Drosophila melanogaster: one gene and its partners. The protein of the gene in region 1 interacts with the protein of each later gene in a pairwise test. Each region holds a gene or a part of one and is shown on either strand. Other genes may lie near its edges. The genes, in order: CG1486, CG15712, ND-B14 and CG10252.

Evidence for each region.
Region 2: the proteins of CG1486 (region 1) and CG15712 interact in a two-hybrid assay, tested with the Drosophila melanogaster proteins (one large-scale study listed by BioGRID).
Region 3: the proteins of CG1486 (region 1) and ND-B14 interact in a two-hybrid assay, tested with the Drosophila melanogaster proteins (one large-scale study listed by BioGRID).
Region 4: the proteins of CG1486 (region 1) and CG10252 interact in a two-hybrid assay, tested with the Drosophila melanogaster proteins (one large-scale study listed by BioGRID).

Annotation. Positions count from the first base shown.
Region 1 is NC_004354.4:21,322,268-21,328,719, reverse strand, and holds CG1486 (uncharacterized protein), read right to left. Parts: upstream 4,675-6,452; 5' UTR 4,573-4,674; exon of another isoform or gene 4,486-4,572; 5' UTR 4,260-4,485; coding exon 4,149-4,259; intron 4,011-4,148; coding exon 2,898-4,010; intron 2,832-2,897; coding exon 2,550-2,831; intron 2,493-2,549; coding exon 1,977-2,492; intron 1,918-1,976; coding exon 1,724-1,917; intron 1,660-1,723; coding exon 1,317-1,659; 3' UTR 570-1,316; downstream 1-569. Other genes in the region: Dd (dullard), read left to right, coding at 5,491-5,589.
Region 2 is NT_033778.4:16,484,314-16,487,167, forward strand, and holds CG15712 (uncharacterized protein), read right to left. Parts: upstream 1,240-2,854; 5' UTR 1,228-1,239; coding exon 697-1,227; intron 642-696; coding exon 528-641; downstream 1-527. Other genes in the region: CG33458 (uncharacterized protein), read left to right, coding at 2,361-2,571, 2,697-2,745, 2,803-2,854.
Region 3 is NT_033778.4:10,896,644-10,899,571, forward strand, and holds ND-B14 (NADH dehydrogenase (ubiquinone) B14 subunit), read right to left. Parts: upstream 1,243-2,928; 5' UTR 1,151-1,242; coding exon 1,021-1,150; intron 945-1,020; coding exon 829-944; intron 775-828; coding exon 646-774; 3' UTR 501-645; downstream 1-500. Other genes in the region: CG12942 (uncharacterized protein), read left to right, coding at 48-303; Polr2E (RNA polymerase II, I and III subunit E), read right to left, coding at 1,689-2,321.
Region 4 is NT_033777.3:23,694,642-23,697,833, forward strand, and holds CG10252 (uncharacterized protein), read right to left. Parts: upstream 1,605-3,192; 5' UTR 1,522-1,604; coding exon 1,503-1,521; intron 1,442-1,502; coding exon 1,223-1,441; intron 1,163-1,222; coding exon 976-1,162; intron 905-975; coding exon 640-904; 3' UTR 580-639; downstream 1-579. Other genes in the region: prt (portabella), read right to left, coding at 1,952-2,044, 2,111-2,235, 2,299-2,515, 2,582-3,183.

The DNA of each region.
Region 1 (6,452 bases):
ATTTCATTCAAAAGCAAGCAGCGGCAAAGTAAAGCGCTAAAAAACATCCAACAAAAAATATTAAATAAAATAAAAATATAAAATTTAATTGCATTAGTTAGATGGAGAACTGTTGTTTTTTAATGGGGGCCAATAAAGTGACGAATGATGAAGGTGAATATGGTCATAAAAACTATCAGTACTTGTGTAAGTATGTAACCACACAAAATTAACTTTTCATACCATAAACTATATAAGAGAGGTTATGTGTCTAAAAAAAGTATCCTATTTGCATAAAATCATAAGCTCAACCATCATCTTTCCTTTAGTAATTTAACAACAATTGTAAATTTTTCGATCAAACGATTAAGATTTGTAAAAAAAGGTTGAGAAAATCGGATAAAAAGTTTGGAAACTATCGAGTTAAGTTTGGTGTATGAAAAAAAAAAACTTATCACATTGCCACGTTTCTAAACGAAAACATAACAATTAAAAAAATAACATTTTTAATCGGTTTAGGGAAATACAAACCAAAAGGGGAAGATATTACCATTTAGAGGCGAAAGGTCAACAAGAAACACATGCTTTCTCTTTCTAAATGATTTCACATTTTATTTTGTATAGTTTCCTTTTATCATATTTTGTGCAGATATTTTCTTATAGCAGCAATTTTTGTATAATAAATATATTTTTGTCATTTAATTATTTTCTTTCTCCGCGTTTTCTTTAATTTCTTTAGTTTACTGTCACTTAGCTTAACGAATAAGAATAGCGCAATTTATTGCTTCGCACAATTGAACATTGAAGAATTGCCTATATATATATAAATGTATATATATTATGTCTCTCAAAGGTACTTGCATCTGAATAATTATAAAAACAAAAAAATAAAAGCGTAAAGAGGACGAAGTTACGCACATTTCCCTCTGATCATAATCAACAATAATGGTGGGAGTAAAGTATAAGGTAAAATAATATAATATATAATGGAGATATATAAAAGATCATAGAAATAGCCATATACATATAAATACATAAAAGCAATTCAATTGGATCATATCATCATCATCTTTTCATCTTTTCGGGCGAACAATCATCCTCTTTGGAATTCTTTTCGTTTAAGTAGGGAAAGTGGAAATGAAGCCGTCCATATATATGGTAATCTGTCCAGTTTTTGTCTACGCGTTTCTGTTCAGTTCAAGCCTTGTTTGATATTGCTGCGTTTTAAGGCCTCTCCCACTGTGGAATCCATATTGCTGGCTCTGCCTTGATCTAAGTGTTTTCCTCTGCCGTTCAGTTATAGTTAATTTTGAAATATACTCGTACTTGTGTTATTGTTAGTTATTGTTAATTGCACTGCTGGCGGCCACTAACTCCGGAACGGTGGACGAGGCGGCACTGCTCTGACTGACGGTGCGGGCATGATCCACATGGTTTTGGGTCGGCGCCGCAGACGGAGCCGCTCCCGAGGCTGCTGGCATCGATCCCGAAGCTTCTCCCGACTGCACTGGCGTGCCCTCGCTCGCTCCGGATCCGTTTCCATTTCCGGGTACGGGCTCCACCGTGGGAAAGACGGGCGGCAAGGCAGGCGCGACCACGGGCGTCTGCACCATGGGTGTGGGAGGCGAACGATTCGCTGGCAACTGATGAGCAGTGGCTCCGGTCATCTGCATGTGGTACCTTTGGAGTGTAGATTGATGAACATTAAACAAGGACACAATATCAAACGATCTTTGGAACCCACTTGTAAATGTTCTCGGTGCTTTCGACAACACCTTGGGTAAGATTGAGGCTCCGCCCCTTGATGCCCGACTCCTTGGCCGGTGGGGACCACCAGTTGAAGACGCGTCCCACCACAGGCACGTGGCGCAGGATGCCCTCCTGCCAGAGCTTCTCCTCCGATTCGCGCTGCAGATCAGCGGTAACCGCCTCAATGCCCTGAGCGTACAAATAAATTAACACATGTTACATTAATCCAGTACGAGGTGGTAGCCAACCTTTTTAACAATCTCCGACATGGTGTCCAATACCCGCGAGTTTTCCTGGACGCTCTTGCCCACCGTGACCACCAAGTCTAACAACTCTTCGACCTCCGTTTCATGGGTCACCATTCCGAATCGCACACAAATCAGACCATCGGTGCCTTCGCCTAATGAAAAGGCATTGTCCGTGGATTTCAGGGCCTCCACCAGGTCGATGTTCAGCTTGTTTAGCTCTGTTTTGGCCTGGTCCGTCAGCAGGGACTCCCAGCCCTCGGGCACGAAGCGAACACCGCCCATGCCCGCCCATTCGGGCAGTGGAACGAGGCGCAGCACGTCGCTGCACTCCACCAGATGAATGAACCGTGCCTTGTGCTTGATGGTCGCGCGCAGGATGTCCACATGTGCCTCTAAGCTCTGAGCGAAGCTCTCCAGGTTCTCGGAGCTTGGCGGCTGCTCACCCAACCCCAATTCCAGCGGACAGTAGCGAATGCAGCTGCCGTGCGTCGGGTGTTCAATTACCTCAAAGTCAAACTGGAAGAACATGGTGATTAGGCTCATACAAGGAGATGATTAATTCACACTGCATACATTGGGACAGTCGCGTTGCAAGATTTGACCCAGCCAGGAGTTGAGCCGGTCGAAGTAGGAAGCATTGTTAATCTTCTCTAGCGGCTTGAGGCCTTCGGCCGTTTCCCGCTCAGCAGCGGCAGCGGCGGCGGAAGAGCCACTCCCGCCCAGTGGAATGGTGGTGCTGCCGTCGAACTGATAGGCGACCACGGGGGCGGCGGCATCAAAAAGCGCCTGCACATCAAAGGGGCTCTGAATGACGTCCGACAAAGAGGCTCCGGTCTGCGCTCCTGGAGTATGGCTCTGAAAATGCCAAGGTCCTTTGGTAAACTAAAAACATTATCCATAAACGTGTGTGCAATAATTTACCAACACCCGGATGCCCTCACACTTGGAGGCAATCTCGAAGAGAATACTGCACGTCTGGAAGGCCACATGCAGACGCTCCGCAATCGCCTTCCGGCCCAGCGCCTGCAAACTGGTCCACAAGGACAGGGCATTAAGACGACGCGACAGTATGGGATCGGATTCGAAGGCACTCAGAGCGCTGTTCTGCAGCGGACGGTGCAGCAGGACGATGGGCAGACTGGGCACACCCAGCCAGCTGCCCAAATTCAGGGCCATCGAGTGGAGTACCTCCTCCACATGGCCCTGATTTTGGGCGCACACCAAGGCGGCCAGTCCGTGGCCACTGGCGTGCAGCCACATGTTGTGCGCCTTGCATACGTCCCTCAGCCGGAGCAGGTTGTCCACATAGCCACACAACGAGGCTCCAATGTCGGCGACCACCAGCAGCGGAGTCCTGTTATTGCCCACATCCTGCTGAATTTGCTTTTGCAGCAGCGTCACATCCATTGTCCCGGACTGACTGTGCTCCGGAATGACCTTAATAGCCTCCAGCGGTATGCCCAACTGGCGGCATGCGTAGTGCAGCCTCATCGGCGTCGTATTCTCCGAGATGTAAAACGTAGGCTGCGCCAGGGCGGGTATGCCACCCTCCAAGTACCCCGGACACCTGGCGACGATGGCCAGTCGCACCGTACGCAGCACCGCGTCTGCATTGTCCGCATGGAAGCTGCTCGCCGGGTGGGCAAAGTGAAACAGCGTGCCCAACCAGCGGGTGGCGTCCCCGGAAATGCTGTTCGTCACCCGGAGCAGTTGCTGACGGTCCAGATGCGACAAATAGGCCACAATGCTGTGCGATATGAGAGCCAAGTGGGAGACGTCATCCAGGGCGGGCAGCGGGAACTCCGGATCATCGTCGCTGTCCGTGTAAGAAACCAATTGCTCCAGCGACTTAAGAATGTCGGAGGGCACGCGATGCTTCGCTGGCAGGAGGTCCTCGCTGGTCACCCGCTCCCCAGCCTCTTCCTCGTTCTCGACGGGATTTGGGCTCTCCGGCGTGGTCGACACCTTAACGTTCTCTAAGCGCTGCAGCACCTGCGAAGATCGCAGCTCCAGCTCCGCCAGGCCCGATCGAATCTATGTGGCGAATACATGGCTAATTAGGTGGGATAGTGGACAAGGTAAACAACAGCGCTCCAGAAGTTGACGTGTCTTCCGTCGTCGTCAGCAAAAAAAAAAAAGATAGAAGCAGGGCGAAAAAAACCAAACACTCACACTGGAAGCGGCGATTTCGGCCACCGCTGGCGTTGATTGGCCCGGATCCGGCTCTTGGTCTACGAGTGGGCTCTGGCCGGGATCGTCCACCGATCTACCAGCCGCTGACATGGTTTCAGTGCGGTCTAAATCACTTTTAACTTATCGCCTGCGATGCAAAATAATTGTTTTCGTTTCGTGCCACTGCGTCTGTGTGGGTGGGTGTGTGTGCGTGTGTGTGTGGGGCGGGCGAGTGTGTGTGTGTGTTGATGGAAGAGAGGCTGATGTGGAATGGTGTGACCGTAGTGGGTGCGTCTGACTAAGATCGCAAATAGTGTGCGATTGTTGGCCCATGGTTCTGGTGATGGAATAGGTCGCAAGGAAGTTGGAAAACTATTATAATATCCGCCACTAAAAGACGTTGGACAGCAGCACACAAACGTACATACATAGCACCTACTCGTAACCTTAAACGACGAGTTTTCACAGTGGTTTGTGTCACGGTTTGTGTCTCAGCGATTTTGAAGACAGCACCGCACGGTCATACTACACAGCCATCGATAGTTGCGGAAAACTCATCGATGCTGCGAAAGTGCGATAGTATCGAATAAACATGAGTGTGTGCATGAGTGTGGGAATTTATTAAACAAAAACGAAACGCGGACAAACTATATTTATGTAATAAACACTAAGCCGCAGCGCCAACGAGTAATGAACAGTCCACGGCCAGGTCGTACTATTCAGGCGAACGCACCTCGCAATCGACTGCAATCAAAGTGCAATAGCTCAATCAATTGATTCGTTTTGCTCAACCAAAAACAAAATCTATTCCCAAATCGGTGCGATAGTTGCCAAAATATAAAAACTACACTACGCTAAAAAAAAAACAATACACTCACACACTGGCGTACAAGACAACAAAAGAGAAGAAGAAGAGCAGACGCCAGATATAAAAAGCCCCCAAAAGAATTGGAAATAAGACCATACCCCTCCTTCTCCCTTGAAAAGGGACCTTAAAACTAGGCGACACCGAATAATTGAACTCAAGTAAAAAACCGGGAAAAGAGAAAAACACTTTCAACAAAATATCTAGAAGCCTTGTTATCGATTTTGTTCCGGGTTTTTTTTGTGTGAGTGTGTGTTGTGTGAAGCGCGCCCGCGGGTGTGTGGGTGAGTGTGCGTGTGGCTCTCGGCGCGTTATCAAAAACAACAACAATTCGTTGCAAAAGAAAAAATAAAGTAGAGGAGGCGGAAGAAGAAGAGGAATCTGCTCGCACCGCGGTCAATCGCGGATCGTGGTCGATTTATCGAATTAATCGCCCCGAACAAAAAAAACACCGTACAAGGACTTGCACTATTTCCAATGATTTCGCTGCTGCAAATGAAATTCCGTGCGCTTTTGTTGTTGCTATCAAAAGTATGGACATGCATTTGTTTCATGTTCAATCGCCAAGTGCGAGCTGTAAGTACTGAAATTACCCGAAAGCAGGAGTAAATCACAAAACAAAAATAGTCCTATTTTTACCCGCCCGAAACGCCGAAATTATTCCCAACCCGCTCCCGCTATCGAAACTTAAGTACTACTGCTACAGAATAATAATAATAAAAGCGGCCGCACTGATAAGATTTTCAATGATACAGGTAGTACTCGCTAGAGAGTATGGATGTGTTTGCCTCGGAAATTTATTTGAAGATTTGCATGAATAGAAACGTTGAACTTAAAATTAATTCATATATTTTAGATCTTTGTATCTGCAAATCTCTCATATCAATAATATGGTTTCATTTATATTTTCAAATTATATTTACGTTACTTCAATGTGCGATCTATTAAATTTAGAGTAACTTTCAATATATACGAATACGAGATATTTATTCCTAAATATTTGCAAAATTTTAAATTTTCGTAAAGTTACATATATTTTTGCTGGGTACCGCTTAGCCAGTGACACCTGTCTTAAAGTAAGCCTCTATCAAGATTTTCCGCCACACGTTTAATGGTTCGTGTTCCACCGAATCCCCACCCGTCCCAGAAGTGCTGTCCACGGTTCTCCCATCCGCCTTATCGACCACCCGCCTTCAATACTCTCTCAGTACTGGGCCGGCGATTTTGGCCAGATATCGTGACGCGGCAGAGGCACTGACCTTCGACCTGCTTATATACATAGATATCGATGAATCCACATCAACATTATATGCTATTGCACAGCTAATAATTGTTAATTGTTTTGTAAAAGCATAATATATCAGTAAATTGGGGTTTCCCATGCACTAGTGATAACTTGGCCATTGAGCACCTCTAACATCTCCTTGCACCGCAACCCA
Region 2 (2,854 bases), on another chromosome or scaffold:
CAAATCAATGAGGCATTCTCTGCAAATTGCGTCAGCAAGATGCATTGCCACCAACCAGAAGATTCAACAGATTTTTGTCATCGTGAAACGACCTGGATTCCTGTTGCACTAATGATGGCATATTGTGCGTGTGTGCCAGCATATGACGACTGGAGGATTTCCCCTTTTGCTGATTTTCCACATTGTACTGACTGCACATCAGGTGAAGAGATTGCAGCTAAGTCCCAAAGGTCATGTCTATACGATGATTTTGCGATTGTCTATTTACACACAGAAAATGGTACGAAGTTTTGAGTATGAGACTAAAATGTAAGGAATAATATAAAAATACAATAAACTATGTATATATAAAAGTTCACATATTTCACACATAGCTTATATGCAAGTTAAAGATCAGGCTAGATATAAGATGATGTAGATGATATAAGTGATAATTGATAGGTAATATCTAAAATAAATATTTTTATTATCCTTATGAACATACAAAATGTATCCTTTCGCTTTTGAAAACTATGAATCAATAGAATCTAGGACGTCTTGGGACCCCAACTGATTACCTCAAATACGATTTGAAGTATTTCATCCACGTTGATGCTCTTCTGACTCAACTTTTTTATGGGCGCCTGAAGATCTCTGGAAAGCTAAGATAAAGCGGAGCGTTATAAAAACTCGACTAGATACCTTTTGAAATCTTACTCTGGCACGCTGCACCAGCTCCTTGAACTCCTTATCCCTCAAAGCCTTGTAGAGTTTGGCGAATTCAGTGCTCTGTTTCGATTTCTGTGCTATCAAGGAATAGATTCTGGTCCTGGGTAAACTATGAATAACATCCCAGAGGAAGGTGTTCAGGTCGCGTCGCAGCATCAGTTCCACTGGTACAGTCCGCGACAGTTGATAGGCACGCAAACGTGTTGGCAAGCTGTCCACCAGTGTGGTAATGTCGTAGCCAGAACCGTAATCGCTCACATAGTTAATAATATTCACGAAATCCGGAGTGGCACGAACTTGCTGCCAAGTGGCTATGAACTCATCGCTGCGAACAAACTCCACTGCCTGGCGAAACTTCGGGTCGAAGATATAGTATCTGGCGGCAATAAAACCAATTCTGCGACGTGGAACCAAGGCTACGAAATCCTTGAGATCCTCTCGCAAGCCGCCAAATGCTGTTGCCCAACAACTAATTGCTGAGATCAAAAGAATAACCGACACGGAGGTGGAGAAAGTCATAATGAGACTCTTAGAGTTTTGGTAGCGGCCAAGCCTTTTATACTTTCGTGGGTACAATATTTACCAATGTCTTTGGCGGCGGGGGTGTGCCAGGTGCTAATTGTCAACTGTCACCAGTCTCATCAACTATTTGGACCGCACAAACTATTACACAGCCGAAAAAAACGCCAAATATCGTCGAATTAGTTCCACTTATAAATATGTGTATAGCTTTTACATAATATCTCATCTCATAAAACTAGATAGCTTTCATGCTTATTTAATCTCTTACAATATGTGTTTGTATTAATTGGCAAATGTTTATTCATGAATTATCGTAATAAAAACTATATTATTATTATTTTTTCCACTGCACACTTTCGCTTTCACCGACACTGGGAATAAGTACACAAACCACAATCTGTAGCCAGTATTCAAAGCAGCGACTTCGCACATGATAAACAAGATGCATGGTCAACAAACGTTGGCCAAACCACGATAAATCAAGTGAGACATTCTTTTGTCTGGCCCAAACTGACTGTAATTGCTCCCATTTGTGCATTAAAAATAATGATTGATTCAGACTCGGAATGCATTTCCTATCCCAGTCTGAATTGCCTATCCCACACAAGCTGAATACATTGTTCTGTTGTGTCTGCAGAAGTCGAAAAATTAGAATTCAATTGCGTGATTTATGCATTCGCCAAATTTACGAGCCTTCTGAGAATTCCATGCCTATTCACCCACCACCTCGAACCGAAGAAAACCAGACTTCATTGGAGTAAACCACAGAACATTTGCGTGGTCACACAATTTATTAAAGCGAAAGCTAATGTAGATTATAATTAATTGCTCAAATTTATGCTCGCACTTCCAAAAAAGCTGGAAGCAGCAAATTGAACATGGCACATTTGAATGAGAATCATTTTTGCACATTAACCATAAATTACAACACATATGGCGGCCCTCTATTTATAGATATGTATAAAAAGATATTTGCAGCTTTAAGTGTATAATGTCAGTACGGATATGCTTCCATTTAAACCAGAGCTTACTCATTAGTATATATTTGTGATAAGTAAATCGTGTGTACTGCATAATTTTATTTACAGCATTGCATCAATTGATGGTCAGTTGCATTCGACAGCTTCGAGATGAAGCTTATTCCAGCTCTGCTAGCATTACTGATCCTGGGACACGGAATATCTCTAGGATATTCGTATCTTCTAGAATGGGATTGTGGCATTTCGAAATATACCTACCGGATAACTGGCGGTAGAGATAGTCCCCTGATGCTCAATCCATGGTTAGCCTATTTGCATATTAACTCCAAATTCATTTGTGGTGGCTCGCTTCTCAATCATTGTAAGTATGTGAATATAGACTTTATTCAACTGAAGGTAAGTTCTTGAATACAGAGTATAGAATTTATTGAACTGAACTAAGTTATTAAATACATCGATTTTATAAACAACTCATGACTTTTTTAGGGTTTGTGCTGACAGCAGCCCATTGTTTTAGGGATAAGAATGCTAAGGTGTAAGTAATATCTTAACATGAAAAACTAAATCATTAATTAAGTAATTATTATTAAAGTTTAGTTCGATTAGGAGAGAACGATGCTAGTCAGAAAATTGATTGCAATGAG
Region 3 (2,928 bases), on another chromosome or scaffold:
ATTTACTCTATCACAGGGCCAGCAAATCATCACCATGCCACTTACAGATTCCGCCAACATTCCAAGAAGGTGCATGGCATCGAACTGAGCGACGAGCAGTTGGCTGAGATGTTCCGCGAGAAGAAGGGCTACACCAATCGGCATGATGCATTCAACAAGTCGATTAACTCACTGGAGATTCCAGGCCTCACGGAAGACTGTTTCACCGAGCTGGAGAGCCTGGGCGTAGACTATGACGCCATAACTACTGATCTCTTTGCCAGCTCCGCCGCTCTGGACAACCTGCTCAATTTGATACCTTAAAAACAGGGCCACGATCAATCTACCTGCATAGAATTTACAAATTTAAACGGCACACATATTAGCTGACGAGAGCAAGAAGACTGTCTGCACTTTACAAATCGCCCTAACAAAAAATAGCATTTATACACCACAACTGTTTAAGTTTGAACAACTATTTTGCTCAACCGATTCAGAATCCAGATCAGAACATTCATTAGTATGTATTCACAGTGAAACCATGATATTTTTGAAGTCACAATCTCAATAAACAAGGACACACGCGTTTCTGAAGCGCACAAAACTCCCTTTGTTTCGTTTTACACTCTGTCGGAGTTTGTATTTAAACTATTTCAATTTGAATAACTAATTAACGCCCTGGATGAATTTTGAGAGGAAGTCGGTGGGCTTGGGATCCTGCGATTCTTTCCAGTAGCGCATGATATGGCCCTTCTGCTTCCAGATCTCCACGGATTCCTTAAGCTCCATTTGGCCCTGCGTAAGATAGTATTATCACCTGCAGCATAGCTCTCTTATGGATGCGTTTACCTTGATGACCAGCATGTCGATCACCCGGATGTCGGTCACATTGCGATGCTTGACGAACTCCTCGCGCAGCTTGTCCCGACACTGCTCCACGGTCATGGGGATGTCGTAGTCCATGACTGCAAGCGGACGGATGGCATTACATGGCGTCGGGATACGGATGCACACTCTGATGACATAACCAGGAGCACTTACCGATGTAGGGAATCTGGCGGTACCAGGCCTTGTACAGATTGAGGGCACGCTTACGGGCCTCCTCGCGGTCCACGGACAGGATGGGGCGCACCTGCTGTACGGCTCGCTTCACGGCTTCACGTCCGGCCATTTGATTTGTTTTTATTTCTTTCTGTTTTTCCTACGACCAAATTGCTCCAAGCAGAACAGTGTGACCGCAGTTCACTACGCACAAATGGACAAAACCAAAGTTTGGTAAAATGATTTTTATTTAAAAATGTTTTCTACTCGAAAATAATAGATGTTGCTAAATTCCTATAATAAAACTCATATCAAATTATGATCTTTAATACCCACATTATATTCCGCAAATTTGTAATGGATTTCCTAGCGCTTCAAAAGAAACAAATATAAACTTTTTTATGGATTAGGATTTGCTGCTCAGCTAAAATTAATACACTATTTTAAATTTATATCATTTTGTCAACTTGTACTATTGATTCTCTTAAGTAAAATGCTGATACTTTGAACTAGTTCCTAGCATTCAAGGGCATTTAATTTCGAGTACTTTAATTTCTTGCCAATACCAAACACACAACTTACTGAAAAGATTGCGATTTATTAAAGTGTACAACTCGCTGCCTTTTCCTTAAATCATAGGTTTCTTAAAATAATTCATAAGTCCAGGATCAGCACACCAATCGATAGGATATGTACCGTCCCGCCGTCTCAGAGGAACGGATGATCTTAACCACCTGGCCGCGCTTGAGTCCAAAGTACCGGGCCACGGGATCGCCCGCCTGGATCCTCATCAACATGTTCTCCTTCAGTTTGTAACGGCTGAGCAGCTCCTGCTTCTCCTCGACGGTCATGACCACGTGCTCCGGGACCAGTTCGTGCTCCGTGATGTTGATCAGCAGTTCGGATTCGAGAAACTGTTCCAGGATGTACTTGGGGGCCATATCTACGAGCGATTGCTTGGCGGAGGGCGTCATGCCGCCCTGCACCACAACGATGGCCCGGTGGATGTTCTCTTCCTGCATGCGAGTGCAGTACGTCTTGATTGTCTTGATGCCGATCTTCGGCTCCTCGGGAAAGAAGACGAACATCTGGTCCGTGGGATCGTCGTTGTGGGCCACCAAAACTATCAAATCGGAACGAGCAGGTCGCTTTTCGCTGGGTTTGTCGCCGAACATTTCCTTGAACTGCTCCAAGGTCTGGTCCAACTCGTCTTGGGTCACCAGGTAGCCCCGATCGTGGCTCAGCTGCATGATGGTCTTGCGAATGCGCCACAGCTTGTAGGTTTCCGCTTCGTCATCCATGGCTATTTCCAAAAATTAACAATTTCTAAATTATAAACAGAGCACGCGGATAATGTAGTAAGACCAGTGTATGCCGCTTCATAAAATACCTTACAGCGCCTGCAGCATAACAATTAAAAATACCAAAGAGCGTTTGATGGTCACATGTTTAGCGAATACTCGAACCTATGTATAAGAGCGTAACAGCCGTCACTTCTGTTCCACTGTTCAAGTACGGAGCACCCTATACGATCTGTACGGAGCAACCTTGTATGGAGCCCCTTTTAACGCGGCAGCTTGTACCTTGTATGAGGCGACGTGCAGGGGGCGCCCTGTACGTTTGTGCTTTTGAAATGAGAGCCAAACTTGATTTGTTGGAAATTATGTTGAAAATATAATTCAAATAGAATTGAAATGATATTTAGTATGTACGTATATTCTTGATCAGGATAACTAAGCGATCGCTGGACAGAATTGAATCCAACGATTGATTCACACAAAATTTCCATTGTGACCCTTTTTTAAGTGGGTAGAATTTGTATTTGTATTTAATAAATAAGAATTAAGATCTTGAAAGTTTCATTCTGGTTTCTGTCTGCTTAGTTATAAAATAGTTTAACTTAAAAGA
Region 4 (3,192 bases), on another chromosome or scaffold:
TCGCCAACTTCTTTCGAAAAACTATAAATAAAACAGGCAAAATCTACAAACAAAACGAGAAACTTTGATAAAAAGAATTTTGTGACTGAAAAATACCGGAGTTAGATAAAATCAATGGTTCCGAGTTCCAGTGCCTTTAAGCGAGCACTCGAACCATTATCTTGATAACAGCGCTCTGTTAAGAGAAAACAACGGTTGAAACAAGATGAGCATTTGCCCGCGAAATTGAAATGGGATAGTCTAAATACAAATTCAGTTACTCTCAATTCCGTAAAATAGTAACGCGTGTTGTTGTCTGCCTAAAAACTCACCGTTACGTTGATATAATAATGTAAATGTAAATGTGCTTTTTCCAAAAATTTCTATTATCAAATGTTAATTTGACACATCGTTCAGGGACTACTTGTATTTTAGACATGTACAGAGCCAAGTGTATCACATCATAGGCGCACTAGCATCAAAATGCTCCCTTCCTTTTCCAATAAAGGTAACGCTCATTGCGTTCTACCAAGTTAAAACAAATTCAATCTCATTTTAATACCCCGTTAAGCATTTTCCATAAACAATGAAACTTGGTTTAAAAAGAATTGTTTATTCACAAAAATTTTAGCATATATTTCTTCCAATATTGCACTTGGTCTACATATTGTCACATCTAACTATCATAGGCGGAGCGAACTGGTGGTGGCGCACACCAAAGGAGTAGCCCGGTCCACTCTTGCCAGGACGATAGTACATGAGGTCGTAGTAGTTGGGTCCAGGTCCGACATTCTCGCCCGGAATAGTGGTGCGCGGCTGCATCGAGTATATCGGAGCACGTGTCAGTTTGACATTGATATCACCACCGCCATATGCAGCCGGACCCGGAGAATTCGTCTTGTTCAAAATCTTTGTTTGTAGTCCCCTGAGATACAGGTACAAATAAAAATAGGCAACTTAGTAAAGGAATAACTATGGTAGGATTGAAATACGCACATGCTATAGCTCGGGACTCCAGGACGAACGGCATTGACCTCGTACTTGTAGGCATTGGGACCGGGACCATCCTTCTTGAAGTTAAAGTCCGTTCGTAGGCCCATCGAATACGAAGGAGCATTAACCCCCTTAAAGAATGGCCTATTATGAACATCGTGTGCTCCCGGACCGGGACTGCTTCGCTTATCTACGATTAAGCAATTTAACCAAAAACGTTCTTGTCTTCAGTACTAATAAGTTATCTTACCGATGACATTGGTTCTGGGCGCCATCGAGAACTCCAAACCCTTGCTCGTGCCATAGCGAGTCAACTTGTCCACCTTGTAGGCCCCTGGACCAGGACCCAGATCCTCACCAGGAGCACGGGTGCGCATGCCGAAAGAGTACTGCGGCAACCGCTGTTTGCGGTTGTCATGCTTATCATAGCCCACAGTGGGGGGCAGCATGTAAACGCCGGGTCCAGGGCCTACAAAAAGCATGTATAATATATTATTTACCACATTACAATTTTATGAATTCTCACTCACCAAAAGGTCGCACCGCCATTTTTGTTAGTTTTGTGCAATATTAGAAAGAAAATCTATTTTGAAAATTTAGAACCCAATATTAGGTGTTGGCCGAACAGATTCCAGTAGCAGAATGAGGCTTTCATAGAACTTCACATCGCAGCTCCATTCGAAGTCAGAGCCATAGCACACTTGTTATAGAAAAGTTTTACCACCGTAATTCCTTCACACATAACCCATTCAAATATTAATTACGTAATTCTTTTTATTCCGAAAATTTGATCATAATAACCTAAGTTACTTCAAGACATGGCAAAGTGATTTTAATAATAGGAGATTCGAATTTTATCGGAAAAATAAATTGTTTACGAAAATCAGCTCCAGATATATTGCTTTATTGAGCCAAAGGAACGCCTTATTTGCACACTCAAGGTTGTTTGCTATTTTGCTGGACAACTGGGCAGTACAGCTTATTCCACATCCATGGAGTTGTAAAGTTGTTTATACCTAGATCCCCGCCCGCTGCTTTGGAGCAGCATATCATTATGCTGTTCCCTAAGGGCCTGTTAAAAAAAAAAACACATATAAATAGTGACGGCTTAATCGAAAAATATAAAAAATGTTGATACCTTTGGATCGTATTTCTGATGCAAGTAGACCAATATTGGGCCATAAATCATATTGAAAATGCCGACAATGCGCATCAGCCAAGCAAATCCAAAGGTCTGGGCCAACTCCCCGCCAATCAGGGGAGCTATAAAGATGATAAAAATACACTTTTTTTTTTAGAAAAAAAAAAAAAACAATATCCACTTACCTAAGCAATAAGCCAGACTGACAGAGGTCTGCTGGATAGCATAGACTGTTCCGTAGCTGGACATGGAACTGCTGCCCTCACCCTGATCCTCCTGAGCCAGTGTTGCATCCACAAAGGTGGCCAAGAGTGGAACCAATGCGGCATCGATTACTCCAATACCCAGTCCCAAGGCAAAATGGGGCAGCAATAGTTGGGCCACCGTTGTAGCACTGGGTATCTGCAAAGTAAATAATATATTTGCAATATATTTCCAATTCAGGTTTTATAAAAGCAGGGCTCTCACCAGAATAGAGGCTACTCCCACCAGCAACAAACTGATACAGGACACCTTAACCTGACCATATTTGTAGGCAATGCTGCCGAAGAAGTTCGTGCCCACAAAGTAGCCCACAGAGTCTGGAATGAAAACGGTGCCCAGCTGCCACTTGTTAGGCTTTAGATACTGGATTAGCCAGATGGGCAGACAGGGCTCCAGCATGGCCATTGTTGAGGTTGAAAACCAAATGGCCAGCACAATGGCCAGGATCATTTTGCATTCGAGCAGCGATCGCCACTTGGGTCTATCCTCCACCACAACCTCCGGTTGCACCGTCAGATCCATGGTCAGGAGCTGGAGGCCCAAACTTAGGAACATCAGAGTGGAGAGAATGATAAAAGGCGCCGATTTGCCCATTAGGTCATACAGAATTCCACCGAATGGATAGCCCAGCAGCACACCCAATGCGATGCTGCCCAGGATGATGCCCATCACCTTGGAACGACGTGCCTCCTCCGGATAATGCTGGGCCACCAGGCTCATGCCGCATATGTTGATGCAAGCGGATCCCACGCCCTGCACAGCCCGGGCCACCAGGAGAGCCCAGTAGGATTCACCAACGGTGAAAACTGAAAGGT